Linked DNA regions of Oryzias latipes. The protein of the gene in region 2 interacts with the protein of the main gene of each other region in a biochemical or structural test. Links are inferred from orthologs where the notes say so. Each region holds a gene or a part of one and is shown on either strand. Other genes may lie near its edges.

The links.
Region 1: of the proteins of nedd4l (region 2) and ndfip2, one has a biochemical effect on the other in vitro, tested with the Homo sapiens proteins (2 studies listed by BioGRID, with this or other methods). The link is inferred for Oryzias latipes from reciprocal best matches to the Homo sapiens genes NEDD4L and NDFIP2.

Annotation. Positions count from the first base shown.
Region 1 is NC_019860.2:18,747,269-18,751,739, reverse strand, and holds the start of ndfip2 (NEDD4 family-interacting protein 2), read right to left. Parts: upstream 2,860-4,471; 5' UTR 2,687-2,859; coding exon 2,660-2,686; intron 377-2,659; coding exon 157-376; intron 2-156; coding exon 1-1. UniProt on the Homo sapiens protein: Activates HECT domain-containing E3 ubiquitin-protein ligases, including ITCH, NEDD4, NEDD4L, SMURF2, WWP1 and WWP2, and consequently modulates the stability of their targets. As a result, may control many cellular processes.
Region 2 is NC_019870.2:9,923,116-9,927,433, reverse strand, and holds the start of nedd4l (E3 ubiquitin-protein ligase NEDD4-like), read right to left. Parts: upstream 2,993-4,318; 5' UTR 2,875-2,992; coding exon 1,777-2,874; intron 1-1,776. UniProt on the Homo sapiens protein: E3 ubiquitin-protein ligase that mediates the polyubiquitination of lysine and cysteine residues on target proteins and is thereby implicated in the regulation of various signaling pathways including autophagy, innate immunity or DNA repair.

The DNA.
Region 1 (4,471 bases), on a different chromosome or scaffold from region 2:
TCTGTGAAAACAAGGAGAAGCAGGAGCTTTGAATTCACAGAGAAGACAGCGAGCAGAGTCAGCTGGTGACGAGTGCTGTTAGTCTTAGAGTGACTCATCGGTAAAAAATCGGTCGGGAAGCATTTAAAGAAACCAGGAGGGAGGAGGCAGCAGTACCAGGTGCTGCGGCAGCTGCTCCCAGGTCGATGGAGGCATAAGGCGGGGGTGGCATCTCTGCCTCCCCCACAGAACTGGCTGCTGCTGCTCCTGCTGCTAAAGCCGGGGACTGAGCCTGGTTCTGGTCCTGCACGGGTGTGCTGGAGGCCTGGGCGGCTGCGGATGTGGATGGCTGCTCCTCACTGGTGGAGGCCTCACACCCATCGTCCTCATTGTGCAACTAAGGAGACGAAACGACACTTGAGACCCCAAACATGACAGTCAGGATCCGCAAGTCCAACAAGATGTTTTTATGGCAAGGAAAGCAAAAGTTATCAGCCTCAAAGACAGTTTTTGAACTGAAGTTGTAGTTTTGCGCGACTCAAATTAGAATTGAGATAAAGCAAGAGGAAGTGAAGCTGACAGCAGATAAAAACTAAAAACCATTTTCTTTCTGTGCTTGTCTGTTTATTTCAGATTTTCTTTATAAAAAAATAGCCCAAGCTGCTGCAGGCGACCGCCCCCACCAACTCCTCCTAAAAAAGGTAAAACATTTATTATCAACATTGCAGCAGAAAGGTTAAGAATTTCAGCACAGGCTGCACTTGAGCGACCTTGCTGTGTTTATCGTTGTGACATTTGTGGTGTTTGTTTAAACCTGCAGCATATCAGTTAGTTGTCGTGTAGCAAACTGAGCCTTGCACAATCGGATTTTTATGGTTTGCAGAAAAGGGAATTTTCTCAAAAATCTGCTTTCAAGAACATTATTGGACTTCTGTTTAAATTCTTATTTAGTCTTTTTATCTAATTACAGTTTTTGACAGTCACAGCTGTATAAAAGCTTTACAGAACAGCTCTATTTGGAATAACTGCGGTCCCATTTGTCTTTGAAATGCCCAATAATCCAATTTAGGTCTAAATTCTACTTACAGACTTATTTATAAAGCCAAAAATAACAATATTTTTTGTTTTGATTTTAATATATTCATTTAATTTTTGGATAAATTAATGTCGGCCTTTCCATCTCTTACATCCAAAATCACTGTTTCAAAAAAAAACAAAAGTGGCTAAATGTTCTCTAAAGTTGAGAAATGACTTAAATAATAAAGGAAGGAAATGCTTGTTGTTCCCGTCCACACAGAGAAGAACAGGGCTGAAACGGCCTGCTGTGTTTATAAGCGGGCAGTGCCAATGACGCGTTTCTATAACCCGTATTAATACGTAACAGGAAGATGGATTTACCGTTATGAAATTACAGACCGAAATCTGAAATAAAGCCAAGAAGATGCTCTAAAAATATCCCCAATGATCCCACAAACTGTGTCTGCATTTTTTTAAAGGGAAAAACCTAGAATATTAGTGTTTTTATTAACTAGTTGTTAAAAATAGTATGGAAGCCACTCCCAGTTGAAAAATGGCATGCTTCCTATCTCTGACATTTTGTGATTTAAACATAAAAGCCATGTGGAGGTGGTTGAGCGGGTTGAGCTTGCAAGACAATGGCCGAGGGCTATTGGGTCGCAGAAAGTAAACAAATCTCAGAACTCTTTCTGTTTAGGCTTCCCAGTAAACACAAATCATTACTTTCCTTGTGGCAAAACTGAAACTCCAAAAAAAAAAGTGCAGTTTTCACACACCCCTCCCGCACAACTTTCGGGGGGGGGGGGGGGGGGGGGACCCGCAGAAGTTGGATCAAATGAGAATCCGCCAATCTTTTGGGAGCACGGGGCAAATGAGCGGCTGCTGCCTGGCTGGAAATCAAGGACAAAGCACAAGGCTCCCCCATGCACAGGGGGGGCTTACATAAGACATTCACAACACAGCCACAAGCCTATATCCCAGGCCCAGGGAGGGCTGCAGAACCCATGCCTTCAAAAACCGGCGCAGCCCCGGGGAGGAGAATAAAACAATGTTATTTCTGATATCCTGACAGTTGCTGCAACTTTTTTTCCCCCCTCCTTGCTTTTCTAGCCTTGAAACAGACACACACCCCCTTTTACGCTGAACTCTGCGTGAAGCAGGGAGTTGACTTTTTAGTTAGCAACACCACTGGTTTCACAATACCTCTGCTGATTATGACAAAGATTCAGATGACTGTTTTCCATAATGGCAAATTAAGTCTTAATGCTCACAAATGAGTAAAGAGTAGACTGGATTTTTATTTTATTTTTCCAGATAAACAAACTCGATGTATGTAGCATCATAATAGCGTTTATTTAGCTAGTAATTGAGACTAAACGTGTTATGACCTGATTATAAACAAGTGACAGAGACTGAACGCCGACATCTACCTAGCTAAGCTAGATGCTAGCCTAGCCGATGCGGAAGCCAGTTCTTATAGGGGAAAATACAATCAAGTTAACTTTTTATGATACTAATATGTATTTAAGTCATGTTTATTATTCTTTTTTATAGCTAAGATAAAATACAACGTTTGTTTAAAGACACCCCTTGCTGGGTTTTAATCGCGGGGCCTTGTTTCCTGTGGCTAGGCCGCGGTCCCAGCTCGGTTCTTTAAACTCACCACTTGGTACCGACTCGCAGGGTCCATTCCCGGCGAAGAAAAGCAGCTGAAATAATACGCAAGTTAACCCGTTAGACGCCTATGCGGTGACCGCCAGGCGACTCCTGTAATCACGACCGACGCTGGAGATAGTACGCCAAACCTACGAGACAAACAGCAGCGAGCTCGACGCACTGCCTCTGGAAAAAAAAAAAAAATCCGTGCCAGTTACGACCGTTTTAGAAAGCTCTTCCGCCTCTCCCTGTCAAAATAAAGTGCGCTTCCTGTTGTTTTTTGCCTTTTAGGCTCAGGCTACTGAATCATCTCTACTGTGATTGTTTGAAAAAGTCTTATTTTTCTAGACAGCGAGGAAGATAGATTTTTTTTTAAAGGTTAAATTGAAACAGAAATGATGCATTTGGTAAATTTACGAGAAAACTGAATTAAACAAAGAACCAAACAGAGAAGGTGCATTAAAAGGTTCAGATGGGGAAGGCCATTTCTCTCAATCAGCCCCGTTCACCATCTATCCCCATGTGGGCTTTGGATTTTCTCATCAGGGAAATGGAGACTTCAGTCACGGATTGACACGCGGTTGTTGAGACATCTTTGTCTGTTCAACTATTTTTCCATTCATAAAAATCATCATGTCAAAAACATGTTTTTGATTTTTGTTTTTACCTGACATACAAGCCTCATTGGGGCACTATTTCTGGTTTGACTGGTGGATAGCCCCATTTGTAGGCTCAAGAAGAAACAAAATTTTTGTCTGTAACAGTTACAAAAAAAAATACACATCAGTTTTCTTTTTAAATATGATAGAATATTACAGTTGTTAAAGATCCACTCCATTGAAAATCATGCTTTTGGGGGTTTGTAACATGTCCTTGTAGCCTTTTTCTCATGGAGGACATGTATAAAAGAATGTAAGATAAGAAGTGCATTTCTGAGAATTTCTTCTTCGAATTTGAATGAATGCAGATGCAAAAATGCTGTTTGAAAAAGCTTTTCTGTTTGAAAAAGCTTTTCTTTCATGACGCATGTGAAATGGATGGGCCAAAGTTTCACTGCTGTGTTCCATTCTGATGCATCCCCTCGCCTACAAATAGATTCATTAACGTCTTCATTGTCCTCATCTGAGCTAGCATCTGGCACAAAACTGTACTGCTGGAAGGCTCCAACATTGCTTGCCAATTTTGTTGACTGGTAATGTTAGCTTGGGGTTGTAAGGAGCTGTAAGCTAGTGGTAGAGAGTGTAAACAAAGGTATGATGGGATATCAGTGGAGGTGTACTTCCGCGCTAACAACGCATAGGATGAACTACTGCTGCTCCACAAAAACTATGTCCTAGAAAACGACCCAGGTTTTTGGATTTTGGCTAAAACTGCATATTCATGAAATTAACATGATCCCCAGGTAAAAAAATTAATTTCTAAGTACAGCCTTCTTATTTATCCTTGCTTTATTTATTTTACCACAACCAGCAGCTACGGAAACGGTAGTCTCATCAATGTTTTTGTTTGTCTTAAACATAATCCCAATAGATTTTTTATATTAGTTTATTTCTATGTTTATTATCTTGTTAACAAATAGAACTTTAATAGAACTCTAATATGTATACTATATAATAATAGGGAAATCTATTTATGACCATAACTCAAAAAGCTACAAGTGATAACAAAAACAACAGATAATAAATAACACTAAAATACAATAAATACAATGGCGTTTCCAGTGTCTTTGAGGCGTTGTAGAATCCAACAAGTGATAGGATTGTCTCAAATTTGCTCAATGGTTGTGTCAAATGCATCAACATTTTATTTTGAAAGTAGA
Region 2 (4,318 bases):
TGTAACTAAGGACATAGCTATGCAGTGTAGACTAGACATGATCCACTGACTGGAATTTAAAAAGCATTAATTAAATTCAGCCGGCCAGTTGGGGAAGACCTGGGCTAAAAGAGTTTTCCATTTGCGTAAGGAAGGGGATGTCTCGACTCCTAAAGGGATTTTTTTTTTCAATTTGTTAAAAGCTTAACATTTTTTAATAAAATTTTAAAATAACTACAAAAAGATGCAGAAACATGTCTGAATTACATCCAATTTTATAAATGATGTGGTCTAAACTTATAACCCATGACTCAGAATTGCACAGAAACGATGTTTGAAGTTAAATCTTAATCATAAAGATCCCCAATGGGAATTTTTATAAGCAGACTTGGAGTTTAATGATCCCCTTTTAATAAAACTGAGTCTGTGCACTAGTTCCCATAAGAGATATTATTTTTTATGTATATGGTTTGGCATTCATGTGCTGTGGGTTATACAGTATGGTATATCAAAAACATGGTTCAAATTCTGAGAGCTTGGCAAAAAGTATGGTATAAATAAAAATCTATAGATTACAAGTTACACTATGAGCGAATTTATCTCAAGTCCCTCTTATGGGAGATTAGGGGTGGAAAAGACAATATTAACATCAGCCTTTCTTTAAAAAAAACAGTATAGATTCCTAGCTATAGCCTAATAATTATATTTTAAACAATAAAATATGGTTCTTTAAACGTGTTTACCTTCTTTCTGTGTCACTACCTAATGGTACTCTTGGGGCATTAAACCAATGACTATGACTTAACACTAAAATGACTAAAACAGATGAAGCAGGTGGTTGTGTAATCTTTATTCTTTCTATTGGGAAAATGTTTAAGTGATTAAAGCTTTTGTTTTGACACTACAGTCGTGAAACTTTTGTCGACTGTTCGAAGGCTGGCAACAGGTTCTGTGGTCCAGAAGACACTGTTTTTTTTGTTTTGTTTTGTTTTTTGGTATTGGGAATGGTACGATGGGGAACAGCTCAAGTACAGTTTAAAATAAAGCTAAATAAAAGAGTTTAAAACAGTGATAGGGAAAGAGAGAGGGAGCTAAAAATACACCAACAAATATTTTTAGATCCTTTGGACTTTTAGCAAAATGAGGTATTGATGATTGCATTTCTTCATCCGTACTTGAAATGTAATGATATTTTAGATCTTAATCACTGGCAGTGCAGCTGCTGCTAGAATACAGATCCGTTCCAGTCTACAACCAGAGAAAAGACATTTCACTAAAATAAACACCCATGACTGAAATGATTTAAAGATGAAGGAATTAACTTGATAAAAAGCATTTCTTAAAATCACGATTATGATCAAAAATCTACATTTCAAATGTCTATAAAACAGAATGTAACAAATGAATTGTACATTTATCCAGATGCCTGTTACTCCTTTTCTTTCATAGCTGATTTGGCTCGTGTGCACAACTTCAAATGCCTGTGGTTGTGAAGAAAGAGCAAGTGTCTAATTCCGTTTAGAAACAACTCTGTGCTTTCTATACGGTTCCCAGCAAGTTACCACCCTCGTTCTGCATTGTAACAACATTTCCTGGTCTCTCACTAAGGTAAATAAACATCTTCAAACAGTGCTCACTGAAACACCAGATAAAAATCGTCCATTTTTCCACCATTAAAAAAAGGTCGGCATTTATTTATGCAAAAGTAAGGCTTTTTTATGTGAATTAAACAGCCTGTTGCAGTAAAAATACCAGAAACAAGCCATGGTCCAACTCAATAGCAAATTATTTCATTACCTTGGGATTATTTGTTGATTCTTTGCCAATATTAACTTCCTTATCTCCACCTCCACTCTGGGAAAAGTATATCTTGAAATGTGGTTGCCTTCTGGGGGCTTCCTCTTCAATTTTAAAAACACAACCATTCGACCCGTTTTTAGTTTCTGCCTCAACATAAGTTGGATTCTCCTCTATAGTCGGATATTCTGTTCCGCTTTCCAAGTGTTTATCCTCCAGCAAAAGACTTTGTTGGGATGAACTCCGGTGGAATCTAATTCTTGGATAACGCACTGTTTGTAATCCTCTAGTACTGCTTTGCCCAAAGTCTGAGCATTCTTCCTGATGGGAAGTTGACTCTTGTCGTCCCTGGTAGGTATTTTTCTGGTCTTGCTGGAGCTGAAATACTAGTCTTTGTGTTGTCCCATTAACATCAAAGCAGTGATCCAGGCTCTCCTGTTGGACAGACCAACCCGCACCACCGTTTGGAAGAATCCTAAAATGCTGGACATCAGAACCGTTAAGAGATTTTTTCTTAATACAAATAGTCCCAACACTATTACCAGGTTGGAATCTGTTGAAAGCAGCATGGCCCCTGGAACCAAGACAAAACACTCTGCGTTTGGGAAGGTTTGGCTCCATCAGACAAGACTGTATGTTTAAGGAATCTGGGCTGTAGTATGGAGGCGGTGGCTGTTGTGGAAGGTCAGCTCGAGTCCTTAGTTCAGTGTATGCAGGCGCAGGTCCTGGAGGAGTATAAGAGGGTGGTGGGACATCATCAACTCCGGTAGGCTCTCCGTTACTTGATTCACTTGAGCGATGAAGTGATATATGCATTGATGAGCTCTTAGTTGCACGTGGTTCGGCAAAAGCAGCAAGATGGGGTATGAACATCGAAGAGCTGCGTTTCAGCAAAGGCTCAGACTGTAAAGCAGAACTAGCTGAATGGACATTCTCCCCAGCTAACACTTGAGGTGGCCTTGACAGAAAAGGTGTGGGAGTGAAGACTACTGCAACCTCCTCACTGTCTTCCTGCTGTTCCTCCGAGTCTCCCTCCAGTATCTCTGGTGCTGTATTGCTGCGGCCAGATCCAAAGTACAAACGCAGACGTTGGGCCATTTTACTCTCCGTCCTCCAGCTCCAAAACCCCCACACTTTCTCCGACTGGTTTTAGGTTCTCCTCTCTCCTCGTGTCGCCCACTTCTTCTCTCACTGACTGGATAACTGATCCCCTTTTTCTTCCACCCACCTCGCCCTCCCCCTCCCAACTTCTCAGAGACTCTTCCACAACTTTCCCACTCAGTAAACTGTTCGCAGAAAACCAATTGCTCAACAGAAACATGGCAGTCACTCCAAAACAACTGACAGCATTTGAATAAAAGTAAAAAGAGGAGGAAGAGGAAAACCAGAAAGGAAGAGCAAGTAAAACTTTAAAAAAATTATATAGAAAGGGGATCCCTCTTTCCTTGGTAGCACTACCAAGCACTAGCGACAGACAGCAGAAATAGCCTTAGTCAAGTAACAGCCAGCATTCCTGACATGATTGGATAAGGGCCGCCTGGGCTCCTGGTTACTGAGGTGACAGTGGGGTGTCTGTGGGTCACGTGACTGTAACTGGCCCCCACCACCTCTTCTGGAAACCTCATATTGCCCTCAAGTGCCAAATACACCCCCCCTCAAGCTGCACCCAGCATACGCATGTGTGCGCTTCTCTGGTTTCATGATTAGTCATCACACAACTCTTTCCTTTCACAACAACTCCTAATAATGTTCTTTTTTAGGGTCGCATTAAACCTCTTCTTTAATACAACACTGCCACTAGAGCCAACTTTAAAAAAGTATTTTAGGCGGTGTAAATTACAGACACTGACCCAATTTATTTACAACAGACACTCGTATACCTTGATCTTTTAGTATATCACCTCAATGAGGGAAAGAATAGGAAAAAGAAAAGAAAAAATACAGCCACAAACAAACGATCCATATTTTACGTTTACTAGGATAACTTGTTATAAAAGAAGGTAAGCAGGTTCTTGCGAATACAATACAATTTAGAGATAACATTAAAGATGCAACTTTAAATTAGGACGGTAAAATGTTTCCTGTAATTAATTGCAGCTTGTACACACACAAAAAAAACAACCTGTGTAGACTGTTGCTAAAAATACATCACAGAAATGGCACAGAGAGGCCAAAATGGACTTTTCATGACAGCAGCTTTGATTCAACGAAAAGGATACTCCTTTGAGGAAAGATGGATCAGTTAGAAAAAGTCATTTCTTCCAACACACTTTCAACTACCTAAGTGGCTAATGGAATAATGGCCACATTGTTTTTCTCCCATAGCTGCCAGAGATTATTCGGCTCTAAACCTTGCCCTGAATTCCCATCCAGCGCCAAACCACAATGCAAATCACCAGTGTATTAGCATGCCATAGGTGTTTATTTTCCATCCAATTAAAAATAGTGTGAGAGGAATGCCCGCCGATCCACAGAGCAGACAAAACTCCAGTAATAACTTAGCATTCCCATTTCACAACAGAGTGGGTCTAAAAAGCTACAC